Linked DNA regions of Drosophila melanogaster. The gene in region 1 interacts genetically with each later gene. Each region holds a gene or a part of one and is shown on either strand. Other genes may lie near its edges.

Region 1 (4,765 bases):
AGCTCAGCCAAAGCGGAAACCTGTTTTGGCCATCGAGCAAAGTGAGTTGAGTGAGCAAAGAGTTAAGTTGAGCAGCAGCATTGACCCCAACTGACTCAACGACAAAATATGCCACAGAAAAGGACGGCATTAGAGCGTCGAACAGAGATGGCAGACGCACAGAAGGAGATGGAGTTGAAGACTGGAGCCTCGGGAGATCTCTCGTATCCGAATAAATGCAGAACATGGTGCGAAATATTTAATACAAAAATGTTGAAAAGGAGTTTGGCCTGACAAAATAAAGCACCACACTAAACCATGTACAGTGAAATGTTGATAACTTAAACTGGGATTACTGCATATGTTATTCTTTGCATAAGCTGACCTTAGAAAAACATTACCCTGTTTCTTAAATGGAGAAAGTAATGGAGGAGCTTTTAAAAATTTCAACATCAACATATATATACTACAGTTATTTTTTATTTAATCAAATCCACAAATTCACACCCGGAATGAAATTTTTTTTATTTCAAGAATTTTAAGATTGAAATGGTATGCATTTATTTTCTTCTTATTGTAGTTTTTTAACTTAAGTGAAATAAGGCTTATGTTATATGGATTCAAAAATGAATGAATACAGGAAATTCCATGGCGCGCAGTTCGCGATACGGAGGCAAACCTGTAGCAGCCAACTGCAGCAGACGAAGCGAGGTGAGGCCAAGTAAACCTGTTTACAGTTCAAACTTCGCATTCGATATATTCGATGTGAACTCTTTTTTGTTGTGCCATAGTAGGTATGTTCGTCTGGCAGGTTCTGGGGCTGCTTCTTCTTGGCCAACCGAGTTGTTTTAAGCCACCTACGAAGTCGAAGCTTAGGCCGGGTTATCTTCAGCTTAATTGGGTCATTCACACGCGCCACTTGCTCGTCGATAGAGATGGATATACGGCTCCAGAGGGAGATAAAGATACAGCTGGAGACACTGCTGAAAAACACACACAACTTTTTCAGCCTAGCAACAACTTCCGGTGTCTCAAAGACGAAACGAACAAGAAACTAAAGACGAGGCATACATTACATGTTAGACCACTCGAAGACGTACATATGCGAAGACGGGGGCAAAACAAACGGCGGCGAACAGAGGGAGATACATGTATGTAAAAAAAAAAAAAGGAAAGGCAAATAATACTGTTTATCAAGTGATGAAAAGCATTTAAAATGTCGAGTATGCCAGGTATTGTGTTTAAATGCATGCCCTTCGTCGCATTTCGGTTGGAATGCATCTGATATTGGTAAGGAGAATGTTCAAAAGACATAAGCTGAATGCTGTTAATAATTTTAAAAATATTTAAGCAATAAATGCATATATTGCATAATGGCATTAAAACAAAAGGCAATACAGAATTCTTTATTTGAATATTTATTTTGATTTTTGGAGTTACAAAAAACTAACGATAATAATATAAGATGGAATGTTTCGTATACAAAATACAAATAATAAGATCCAAAAGAAATTTATAAATCAATCTTAAAAAACTCTTTAATATTCGAAAGAATTAAAATTCTTCTTTCCCCAAAAATATATATTGAAATATTTCTCGAATTGGTTTTAAAAAAGAAAATTCTAGTATCTTATAGATTGAAGTAACGAAACAACGGTAGATCTCTCCCACACTCAATCTTTTCTACCTACAAGGATCAAACGAAATCAAAGGATCAACGTTGAAGAAGAAGCAGAGAGAGAGAAAGAAAGAATCAAAGACAGGGCAAAAACAAAGTCATCAGTCCAAAGACAAAGGCAAATAAATGGAGAGACAAAAGAGACGGCCATAAAAACTCAACCGACAACTTCTGGATGTGCGAAAGGGACGGCAAGGGTAGAGCGAGAGGTGTGTGCATCCATCATTTTCTAGGCGATGCAAGCAAAAGCAATAGCAACAACCACAACAAACTGCAGTTTGGGCTTAGGAAATTATTTGGCAATTCCAAAGCCTCGAAAAACTGGTCTTGATCCATTTTTAAAAGCCGAGCTTTGACTCAAGCTCCCCTCAAACATAAAAACATCAATCATGCGAAGTTCTACACGAAAAGCGCTTCAAGGTCTTATCAACATGAGAAGAGAAAAAAAGGCATATGAAAACCCGAAATAGAACTGGTTTTGAAATGCAAAAAGCCACCCACACGAAACTAAAACGCTATAAACTAATTAGGCGATAAGAGACTTAACTTACTTACCCAGAAGCTGTGCTGATAATCCAACTTGATTTTGATTTCCTTTGATTTGCTATTTGCTATTTTCCATTTGTTATTACTGTTGTTATTTCAACTTAGCATTTATCCAATGCTTTGAATTTTAATCCAACTGCAACAACAACAAGAACGGCACAATTTTATTAGCTGGCCAATGCAACAACAATCAAAAGAGCAGAAACTCTCCGCTCTCCTCTCTCGATGTCTTCGTGTATGTGCAAAAATCAAAACAAAACACGGCAAAAACACTTATAACTCAAAGAGAGCGAATGAGAGAATGAGAAAGAGAGTGATCCGCTTTGCTTTTGTTTTAGTTTTTAGTGACTGCAACATGTTGAATGTGTTTACTCTTGCCCTAACGGTAAATGCTAGAGCTGCAGTTTAAAAATCCTCTGCTCGTCTCGAATTGAAAATCAAAAATTTACACGCGGCAATTTTCTTTTGCATCACAAAATCCACAATCACTCACACGCACACACAAACACACATATATATATATATATATATATATATATATATATATAAACGCACACCTTTAAAAAGGACGCTGTTGAGGGTTGCATTTTATGTTAAACATAATATTAATTATTTGCTTACTTTTATCTCACAATGCACTCTTAGAAATTTCCACTGTTATGTTATTCATGTGTTTGCATAAAACTGGAGAAATTAAACACGGTATCTCAACAAAAATAAAAGAAAGCCGCCAACAAAATCGGTTATGTTTGACTTCTTTTCACTTTGATATACACCTTAATTCATTTGCTTGTTCAATTAGCATGCACTCCTTAGTTATTTGGTACAGTGTATTTTTTACGAGAGTTCTCGACAATTTTCGAGCGCTAAAACAAAGAAACCGCGCTCGATGATAAAAACCGCGTCCGACTGCCGCTGTTTTTTTGTTGTTTTGAGAGGCGCTAGTGGTGGAACGATGGCTGGGAAAACATCGATAACGCTATCGATCAAGCGATTACTTATCCTTCTGTTGCTGACGATGTTTTCCAGTTGAATGTATGGCAGCACTGCTTATTTAGTCACAAAAATTATATTTGAATTAAAAAGCCGATTTTGTTATCAAGAAATAAATTTTGAAGTGAAAATGTTTTCCACAAATGTTTTAATTCATTAAGTGCCACTTGTCGCAATTAAGTAACTGAATAGGTTTTAAATAATAAGTAAATAAATATCATTGTTAAATATTTATAAATGAGCATTCATTTGCAGCTTTAAATAGATAAACATTTTACATATTTGTACATTGACATCACAAACATTTCAACTAAAATTTAAACTCGTATAACATTACGCTAAAGTATCGCTTAAATATTGGCTCGCATCCCTGGTACTCTTGTTACGTTACGTTATTCGGCAATTACATCAGTCTGGCAACTCTGGCCCTCACACACACTCAGTCGCCCCCCAAATGTATCGGAAACATGCAGCCGAGATAAAATAGTGAAAAACTAGTTACCAAACATAACCGATCAGTGCGGATAATAAGAATTGGCAATTCAAAATTAAATGGTAAACGAACGTCGGCGCGATTAATTAAACTCAACCATAGGAACGCGGAGAGAGTGGCCAGTGAAAGCCAGAACACTCTCTTTCGTCGGAGCGTCTGTGTGTGTGTGTGTTACGTGTGTGCGTATGTGTCTGTGTTGACAAAATACAACAAATCGCAGCGAAAACAGGAAGTGTACGAACGATAAAGCATAAGATTGCACATTTCGCATTAAAATAGGCGACAAAAACCCGGGGGCGCATGCAGATCCACACATTTCTGGCCCACTCACACTCACACAACGCAGATCAGGGGGCGTTTTTCTAGATCAGTGACCAAGTCTTATATGGCTTTATGTTTTGATGCTGCACTAAATATGGGTGAAACATCACGTCATTTATGCCACGCTCCTTCTCCAAAAACAAAGATCATGTTGATTTCACTGCATTTGAATATATATATATATATATACAATAGTTAATGTTCGTGTGCGTCATTCGCTCATCAGCTATATAGTATACGAGTGTTGTTATTGTGGATCGCTTTCGCATGTTAATGCTTTTGTGTGTTATTTTTTCCATTCCATTTTTTTTTTATCAAAGTTTCGCGCTATCGCCCAGTCAGCTCAGAAGCAGCCGCTCCCCAACTGAGAGCACAGAGAAACCAGCTCTGGCCACTTGCTCCTCCGGATCCGGCTCCTGCTCCTGTCCCCGATCCCCTCCCCCACCCGCCAAATCCTGATCCTGCTCCAAATGACTGACGGCGAACAGCAGGAGGCGCTGGTCAAGCGGGCCGAGGACGAGCGCGAGGACATCTTCCGGCGCTACGAACTCGGGCTGGATCCCAGCAATGTGGTGGACTCCTGGGAGAATCCCACCTTCGAGATCTACCACAGGACAGACAAGTGAGTAATATTAATCATTCGCCAGAAAAAATCCCAATAATGCCATTGATGCTCCCACAGATATGGCTTCTTGCACGACTCGCGGCTGCCGTCGACGCGTGATGCCCAGGAGGTGCATCGCAACAAGATTGAA
Region 2 (4,969 bases), on another chromosome or scaffold:
ATTATTTCATATTTTATACCTTATAATAGACATATAATTGTTTAATGGTTGTTATAACTCACCTCCAAAATGAGTTCCTTTGATGTTCTCTTGGGCAGTGTAATTGGTATATTTTGTTTTTATTGGCGTTTAAAATTGCTATTTCACTTGGGTTTATTGTATTTCTATATTTATCGGTTTCGGATCGTATACGTTTGCATTAGCACGGCGCGGAACGGAATGGTTGCATTTTCGTATATTCTATATATAGGCGTTTGCTACATCAGATTGCTGATTATTTTGGCTGGAGAGATCCGCTTGATTTGACGAACCTGAAAAAGATATTGCCAATTAATTGTTGATCACGTGCAAGTGGCTAAAACAGCTATTAAATAGAAAACAAAGGACTTGCAGGGGGCAACCAAAACGCAGACGTGTAGTTTGCTGAAAAAAAAATTGAAAATAGAAAAACACAGACGACAGGTGTGAGTGAAAAGGTGTAACCCGGCCAACAACAACTAAATCAAATCGCAGGAAAATGCCTGCATTTTTCCTCTTTTCCCCTTCCGCCGCCCATCCATCGCTTGGCTGGATCTCAATGGGCTCTGGGGCAAATATTTTAAATGCGCAGATTTTTGGCATGTTTTAGTGGCAGTTCACGTTTTGAATTGTTGCCATGCCCCTCGGAAACGGTCCAACGCTCGTTTCACTGACAATTTAATACAAAAAATGCCAAACATTTTCACAAAATAAAAGGACCAGCACAAAAAGCCAACGTGGAAAAGTTTGGCAGTCGTATAGCGTGTGTTAACCCTTTAAAATACCCAAAAATATATGTGTTCGTACGTGTAAGCCGGGCTATGATAAAAAAGTTGTTTGGAGCGAAATTGTAGGTTCCTTTTTTATGAATGTGCTTTGCGAAGATATAAATGAGACACCAGTGGGTGTGTGGAATAGTTCAAAAGCCATTTGCATTAATGAAAAAGAAAAATATTTCAGTGAAATATTTAATACACTCAATCAGAAGGAAGTAGAGGGAAATTAAAATTAAGATTGGGTTTAATCATTACTTCAAAGAACTAAATAAATATTGCATAATTAGAAATAACAAGAAACAAAAATTAATTATTATTTAGGAAAATAATTAACCAAAATGACCAAATTTCCTATTTATTTAACCCAAACGCAAATATGAATAATATTCTTCGTTGGCCAGAGAATGTAAACATTTCTGCACTTATTGCTTCGACATTCCCTTAGCGTTTTGCATAATTTAACACACGGGTTAGGCTGTGACCCCTGCAAGAGCCACCCCCCGGATTTCCCACCCGCTGAGTCTGGAGCCCGGCCCCGCCCCCATTTCTTGCTAATACCATTCCGCCCCTTTCGACCAGAAGCGGTGCGTGTGCTTGCTGCTCCCATTGAAATGCCAGACTAACTCAATTAGAGTGCGCAGACAGAAGTTGAAGTTGAGTGTTACTTTGACTGCCGGCCAACATGCGAGTGCAAGAAAATATTTATAAATATTTCGAAACATCTGAAACTGCTCCTATTTAAAATGTAGGGAATTAAAGAATGCAATGATGTGGGGAAAAAACTTGAAGACGCGTCTCAATAAACAGACAGCCGGATAAAAGAGTAGGAAACTCGGCAAAAGTATCTAGATACTTTTTGCAGCTAGGTAGCTAGCTATGAGATACTCTCACAAAAACAGCAGCAAAAGCAACAGTGCTGTCTGGCTTGTGAACTCGACTCGTAAATGTACACAGAAAAAAATTGACCTGTCTTGGATCAATTCTTTATTGATTATTTACAACAATCTTATTGTTTTCAACATTATTCCACAAATGCAAAAAAAATCGTTCAAATTTAGACTTTAATTAAAAATAATATTGTCTTTGTTAATGAACTTGAATGAACTTTAATAAAGTGTAATAAGGTGTAATAAGGAAAAAGAAATAAATATTCGAACTTACATTTATAAAAAAAATGTGAAATTCCGAAAAACTTTAACAAAAATGGTCAAGAAATCAACAAGTTAAAAAGTGTATTTTTAGCGTTGTTGGAAATATAAGCTTATGTAAAGTTAAATATATTCTTTTATATTCTGGGCAAAAAAAGCAATATAAAGAGTATTTAGTCCTTTAAAGCTACGTCGAAATATCTACGTTTAACATTTGAATTTATAAAAAGTTTATGTTCTTAAACAAACAACAACTGAAACAAGATGTGTACACTCAAAATTTAAACTTATAAGTGGCTGAGTTTTCCTCCCTGTGTGCGAAAAACACAACAGAAAACAAAAATAAAATGCAAACAACGGAAAAGCGGAAAAAAAGAACTTGGCGTCGTCTGAGTTTAGCTCTCTGTGCTCTCTTTTCTTTTGCAGCTGTGTGAGTGTGTGGCTGTTGTTGTCTTTCCCATTTTCCCGTAGAAAATGTGAATGATTTTCCTTCACTTTCATCAACAGCTGCGCTCACACAAATGCAAGAAGTACTCATTTTCGAATTGCTTTTTGTTATTATTTTAGATACACAAATGAGTTAGCTTTTTCGTATCTTTACCGTTTGGCTGTGTTTTTGTTGTGCTGATTTTATATTTGTTGTGTTTTTGTATAAGTTTATTACTAATATATTTTTATTTGTTTGTATATTTTATTTGCAGATCTCTCGATTTCTCGGTTTTGTGTTCTTCGCCGGCTTGCTATTTTGCAAATGCCGCCGAAATTGCAATCAATTGCAGTTTTATATCTCCAGCTCACACAGATACTCACGCACACTCACACAAACACACACCAATGCGCGACGGCGACTGCGACGCCAACTGCGACTGCGGCGTCGACCGCGCTGCTCACGTCGTATGTCCGTTAATTAAACGCGCGATTTTTTGTTTGTTTCGGTTTTTACATATTATCTTTTCATGTGCTTCTCTCTTTTGTTTTTATTCCGCTTTGTTATTGTTATTAACTATTGTTATCAGCCCTCGGCGCTGCCAACGTCGACTGCGCTGCCTTTCGCGGCTGCTTTTTGGCTTTTTTTATTTCCCGTCTGCGGTGTAAGCGTCTGCGATTTTCACGTTTTTCCTTCTGCCGCGCTGTGTAGTTTTTCCGGTGATTTCCACTTGCCAACTGACTTTCTTCCGACTTTTCCAAACGGCCGGCCGTTGTTTTGCAAAATTCGCAGAGAGAGAGCGATAACGATTAAGAAATGCGGGGGAGGAAAAATAGAGAGATGGAATTACAAATGCGCCGGTCCAAAAAGCTCGCGAAACGATTTGGTAAACGGAACAGAGCTACGTGAAACGTAAGGCCTGCCCGGAATCACGTAACGTAATCACCAAACGAATCACCAAACGTTAATTTTTTGAAACAAGTTTCTGCAAAATAAATAAGTCATTATAAAATATATTAGAGCTATAAATTTATGCAATGTTATTAACGAAAATATTTTGTATGCTAGACTGGTCGAATGGACCAATAAAAAAGTAATTTCGCACCACTTATTCAAAATATGATGAAATCGTCCTGAATCTAACCAAGAAATTAGTCATAGAAATCAAAAATAAATTAAATATAAATGCGTAATAGTATGGATAGCCCATTTAAAGAAGAATTAATAGGTATCAAGATAATTACTTCAAGGGCTTTGATAGAAATTATATTCAGTAAAATCGCGTTCGCAGTAAAATAAAGAAAACGTATAAGTTCTAGCTAAATCATCACTCATCTTAAACCCGTTTTTCTTTTTTAAGAATACAAATTATTTCAATATGTTATTACTAGAAAACTATTATTAAGCTGATTCTAAATGCTTCATATTCGTGCAAATTTGTTTCAGATCTCCCACTCTAATCCGTATTAATTATTATAATATAATATTATAATATATTATAATATAATAATTTTATAGTATTATTTTATACTATTAGTACTTTGCGCATCTCCAACTTGAAAAGTCCAAATAATTTACCGATATTAATGTTCTATCAACAAAAATAAGCAATTACAAATTAGGTAATACACTAATTGAGCACATTAAAAACCCATTTATTTTAAAATATACACACCTACGTGCGTTTGAAATGCATTAGATTTTAGTCTTCAATTAGTTATCCACTAGTATGAACGTCAAAAAGCTTTTTATATTGGTTGACCTGATTCTGGGGACCCTAATCTTGAGCAGTGTTCGTGCAGAGGTCAGTAGTATAGAATCATATATGTAAGTCCTACTACATTAACCTATCTCAACGTATAGAAAGAAGTTTTTATGACGAAAATTGAGTGCCTCAATTATATGCCAGAATTGGTGAGAAACGTAAGCTGCTACTTAAATGAAACTTCCCACCCCACTGGTTCAATATACGCAGAGTTCATATTAACCCAAGATGTTGAGGACCTGAAGGGCATTTACATTTTGACATTTAAGAGAGGTTCATACGTGACGAATTTTACCTCTTCACATGTAGACTATTGTCAGATGCTATCAAGTGTGGAAAATCATTTTTTATTTAGAATGGTTACTACGCAGCTTCGCGAAACCGCCAATTTTCCTATACAATGTCCGTTGAAAATGGTAATTAACACTGGTAAGAAATTGTATAAAACTCTCTAATATCGTATTTTGGAAATTGTGTTTTAGAATAAACGGTATTACGCAAAGGGATTTACAGTTAACTCGAAATTTATACCCAGCTATATGCCAGAAACGAACTTCATTTCGGACGCCCATTTAAGCGTTAAGGATCGCAAAGTATTTCGGTTGCTTATTAAAGGTCGCTTTTCTAGAATACTTCGGCGAAATTATATTAAAACCGAATAGATCACTATATAAATCAAAATGTGTAATTGCAAAATAAATGGATTTTTTTTACTTACAATATTTTTGTTATACATATTTACAGAGAATTAAAGCTATAAATAAGCTACTAAAAATAATCGTTTAGTTGAAATCGTCCACTTTTGTAACTAAAAGCTTATTTAACCAATTGAAGC
Region 3 (5,142 bases), on another chromosome or scaffold:
GTCCAGGGTTCCGATTCCGATGTGGCCCTATCAGATGTCGAAGTATCCACACCGTTGTCGGGGATCGGCATTAACCGCAGATCCCAAAGGTGTTAAGTCACTTGGCAACTGTGACAGACATGACAGTCTTTGTTTTATTGTTTAACGCATTTCAATTAACAACTCCAATGATCTGTCTGATTGTTAGATGGCCGATGGTGTGTCTCTTTTAACGCACACGTGATGATTGAATTTTAATTTTCAGCCCAGCAGCTTGGCCAAAAGCTGTGACCCCTTTGAGCTGGGGGTCCACCTCCACAACCTTTTGTGGCATTTTTTCTGAATCGGGCACGACTAATCCAAATCAAATGGCTTCTCCAAATCAATTCGTTTTCAATCGTTTAAAGTTAATTAACGCGCCAGAATTTTATTTCACTTTACACATTCCTCTTTCACTGCTCCCCAAAATCGTCTCCTTTGTTCTGTAACACGCTTTTGTTTTGCTGTAAATTTATTTTATGTTTTTTCCTTTTAAGCTTTTTGTTTTTTTTCCCTTTATTGTGTGCATTTTCACTGTTTTTTATTTTATTTTGTATTTTTTCTGAGTTTTTTTGTGTTTTTTTTTTGTATTTCGCTCAACGTCTCAATTTCAATGCGCGCTCTTTTGTTGTTTGTATTAAAATTGTTAATTTAAGGCTGTGTCAGAAATAAATTAACCACTGAACCAGGGACCTTAACTCGACCAAACACAGTATATATGGCGTTATTTTCTTTTTTTTTTTTTATTCCGCCCTGTTTCTAGGGAAGGGAGCCGCCACCAGGAGCACCTAGGTGCTTTTGTGTGGAAAATGCAAATTGCCATTGACATCGGGGTCTGAGAAATGGCGTCGTGCGGGTGAGACTCCAACCAGCGAACCACCTGAGACACCATCGCCACCATTGCCCCCCAACTGCACCACCGATGGAAGCCACCGAGTGGCTCCGTCTGTTTTATATGCCAAATGCAGTGGGACAGCGGCAGACGTCGCCGTTCGTCATATAAGGTGCGGTGCGTATAAGTCAGCCGCGTTGGAGGAGCAGAGAAAAAATCACTCGACATATTGAGAAATGTGCAATAGCCTAATGCCCATTTAAGGCAGCACTTTTCATGGCAAGTTGCATTTATCGCCGATCGGATCGGATCGGATCGGAATCGAAATCGGTTTAGAGCGATCGATCAAGCGTTGTGGCTATTGGCGTTTGGCGTTTGCCAGACAGGTCAAAAGCAAAGCAAACGGATTTTGGTCCAGCACTTGATGCAGTAATCTATGCTAATGGGCAAGTGTAAAACATCGCGGAGCTATTATCGCAGAACTGTTGTTTAAGGAACCAACCACATCGAGCAGATGCCTGTAAATGGTATAAATTACCAATGAATGACATACGATTTAATTGCCTCGACTAAGTAGCAACCGCTAGCAACCAGCAACTTGCAACAAGCAACTAGCAACTAGCAACTTGCAACTTCTGTTGCATACAGATCAGTTGATGTTGTTGCTGCCCGTGTCTCGAGTTGCTGGAATTAATTAATATTGCACTTTTGAAGCGCGTGCATACAAATTTGTCAGCCAGACGGGCAGTTCTTCGGCTCAGGTGTAGACAATTGGCATAGTTCACATAGAGAGAGAGAGAGAGAGAGATAGAGAGAGGGAGTGCAGCCCAGCTCTGCTTTTGGCCAAGATGGGCAATTAAAATTCCCCGAGACTGGCTAAAACTGGAAGTGGGAATCTGGAGCTGCAACTGGATGTGAGGAAACTGGGGCTAAGGGTCCTAGTACTATCTTTCTACCAGGCTCTCTATCTCACTCGCTTTTGTGTGCGTCAATTTGCCAGGCACACGATCTGCAGATCGGCGATGTCAAGTTGCTGCTGCGATTGACGTCAATATAGATAGAGTCAATATGGCATGGGAGTGAGATGAGATTGGGATGATGATGATGATGATGATGATGATGATGTGGATGATGCCACTGGAGGGGGCCCGTGCTGATATGGACTCATCATCAGTCCATCATTCATGGGTGCAATCGATTGCAGCACACACATACATATGTACATATGTATATAGCATATAGCCGCCGATCTGATATTACGCTGAGTGTTATGGTAAACCGATCCTATTCGTAACTGGAGCTCAGCTTTTGACACATTTCGACCAACCAAACAGCACAGCTGAGATGGCACTTTATAGTTTTTTTTCTTTCGGCTGTCCAAATGACTAAGCCGTCGGCAAATTGAGCGATCTCGCGAACTCACCTTTAATTTTTTTTTTTTTTTTTGTAGGAGGGGAATTATCCAAGCATTATCCAATTTGTAGCTTTTGCCTTCGGGGTGGCAAAACACATTTAACAAATATTTTTTAGGCTGCGTTGTGTAAACTCTAATTGCTAATATCAAAATATCACACTTCTTTTATTTTTATGTATTATTTGTGCTTATGCTGCGTTTGCGTGTTTGGCTTATTGTGTGTTTTGCGGCTTTAATTGATTTATATTACTTAATGGGCTGTTAAGACACACACTTTTCACTTGATTTTAAATGATTTGGCGAGTTTAGTTTACGGATTTCTAGGCGTTTAGATACTTTGCAGCTTGCCACTATTAGATTTCGAATTGCTGTTGTTGCACGCGCGATCGTTATTGTTGCAGTTGCAGTTGCAGTTGCAGTTTTGGGCTGCAGTTTCGTGCTGTCGTGTTTCGCGGTCTCGTCGCGTCAACGTGCGAATAACAAATAACGAAAACGTACGAAAAGATTTTCACTGCAAGAGGTTGGTTTTCCCGACGTGGCGTCGTCGTCGGCGTCGGCAGAGCTTCGGCAGCAGCGACGGCAACACCGAACCACCAAGACCTATCCAAACCAACCACTGAAACTCTCTTCGCGGAGAGAGAGAGAAAGAGAGTTTTTTGTGTGGCGGGTTGGAGGGGGAGTCTGTAAGCGCACTGCGAAGATTACGTTACGTTCGGATATATTTTCTATATATTTTTCTTTTTTTTTGGGTCCGAAAAAGACGCGTCTTGGTTATTCAGCACTGAAGAATTTGCGGCAGCGCGTGCGGAGCGTCGATGAACCTGAACCGACACTGCCCAGCAAGAAACTGACTTCTGAGTAGAGTCGCCACTCGTACAGCGACGATACCAGGCACCAATACCATCGCACCGAGAGACACCCACACCGAGGCAAACAGGCGGCGGTATCTGTGTGTTAGTGCCGACTGTTGGCCTCTCATTCGCCGGATAAAGTCGCGAGAGAGCGAGAAAGAGCAGCACGTGCAGTGGAGATTTCTCTAGTTCTTTTTTTTTTTTTTGTGTTCCGCTTTTCTCGGTGGGAGCTGCTCGAAGAGCTTCTCCTCCCACTCTCCGCCCGCCCGAGCAGTTGTTGTTTATGGCTGCGTGGGCTTCTAATTGCTCAAAACTCTATGCCAATGGGGGCACTCGGCTGCATTTGGCGCTTTTGGGTCGCCAGTTGCGAGTCGAGCTCCGAATAGGCACCTCCCACTTCCACCGACTGGCGTTATATAACATCGAATGCGAAGATAAGCTAACGAAATCCGAATCCAAGCGGATGTCTTTTCCACTGTCTTGCAGAAGGCGAAGGCAAATAGAAGCAGCGCTCGTTGAATCCTTTGGGAAGTTGGCCGGCTTTTAGGTCACTTTTCGCATCCTTCGAGCAATATATGTCACTTAATTGAGCCCTTTCTTCTTAATACAGCATTTCATTTTCATTTGAGTTCTAAACTAAACTAAACTTACATTGCTCAGAAGCCAAAAAATTTTGATTTATGCGTTTAGTACTTTATCGACTTTAAGGGCCTTCTAATCTTAGAAACAATTACAAAACAATTTCAAATATATAATTTATTAAAATGTTTTACAAATAGTAATAGCAGCGTTTTTAGTTACAGTTTAAAACTCAAACATTCTCTAAAGCAAAAATGTAAATTCAATACTTTTTGATTGAAATTTAATTAGTCTAGTTTTTAATAATTCTTGGCTTTGAACTTATTTTCTTTTAAAAATAATATAATATTCTTAATTGGAACTCTTTTTTGTTTAACTTCGCAAAAAAATTAAAGCGCTACAAAATGATCTAAAATATATATTTGTTTAATTTTAGACTTTCATTTGTACCCATGAAGTTATTTTTGTCTAACATGCATATAAGCCAACTTGCATTATAAGAAAATCGCAGTTGACTGATTTTGAGCCGCATTGAAGGCCCGGATAAAATCGTCGGATAAACTCTCTCACCTATACCACACACACGTTTCGCTCGCACACAGATACAGTTTCGGTCTCTCTCTCTGCGCTCGTGAGAATCGAAATGCCGGCAAAACAACTTCACAGATACGATATCTGAACTTGAAATGCCGATGCACGAGAGAGAGAGAGAGCGCGCTCTCTCTCTCTTTGCACACCGTGTGTGCGGTTGTGTGTGTGGCGCAGCTGCCGAGGTGTCAGTGTATCTGTGTGCGCCTCCATCCAGGTGTGTATGTGTGTGTTTACAAAACAAAACTGAATTGAGAAAAAACCAAAAAAAAGAAAAAACAAAGCAAAAGCATGCCAAGGCAGCAACAACACAATTTGTGAATGAACGAATAGTGGCGCACTCACACACACACGCACACGCAGATACTCAACCCACACCACTATCTCTAAGTGTGTGTGTGTGTGATTGTGGGCAGGGAAAATAAACGCGTTTACGCGATTCGTACAAAATTCGTGGGTCTTTCAAAAAAGAGAAGCACTGCAAAGAGCCAAAAGTGAACGTAGGTGTTTGGCTATAAGTTATATGCCACATGCTTATTGGTATTATACATATGCACGTATATTTCATATGCAGATGTATGTATGTATGTATGTATGAGTGATTAAAATGAGACGGCGACAAAAGAAACGAAACCAAAATGGTGTAGGCCAAGTGATCGGAGATCGGCGATCGGCGAGATACATATATCCATAGCGATAGCGAAGGTGTTTTTTTCATGGGGCATTGGAGGGGAGAAAGGGAAAATGGGAAGTCAGCTGCCAACACAATCCGCAGGTTGACATCGCTGATTTGTTGATTAAGTCGTTCGTCGAGCTGGCGACATTTTTTATACACCCGGTATTTTGGTGGCCAACAGGGC

The links. Genes that interact genetically often act in the same process or in processes that back each other up.
Region 2: of mam (region 1) and fz2, changing one enhances a phenotype caused by changing the other (phenotypic enhancement), as found in Drosophila melanogaster (one study listed by BioGRID).
Region 3: of mam (region 1) and klu, changing one enhances a phenotype caused by changing the other (phenotypic enhancement), as found in Drosophila melanogaster (one study listed by BioGRID).

The regions. Positions count from the first base shown.
Region 1 is NT_033778.4:13,989,552-13,994,316, reverse strand, and holds the start of mam (mastermind), read right to left. Parts: upstream 3,115-4,765; 5' UTR 2,825-3,114; intron 2,340-2,824; 5' UTR 2,213-2,339; intron 1-2,212. Other genes in the region: RN-tre (uncharacterized protein), read left to right, coding at 4,481-4,632, 4,693-4,765.
Region 2 is NT_037436.4:19,232,262-19,237,230, forward strand, and holds the start of fz2 (frizzled 2), read right to left. Parts: upstream 3,113-4,969; 5' UTR 2,753-3,112; exon of another isoform or gene 2,544-2,752; intron 312-2,543; 5' UTR 63-311; intron 1-62. Other genes in the region: CG33647 (uncharacterized protein), read left to right, coding at 4,099-4,173, 4,233-4,550, 4,617-4,796. UniProt on the Drosophila melanogaster protein: Receptor for Wnt proteins.
Region 3 is NT_037436.4:11,006,077-11,011,218, forward strand, and holds the start of klu (klumpfuss), read right to left. Parts: upstream 3,113-5,142; 5' UTR 2,274-3,112; intron 1-2,273.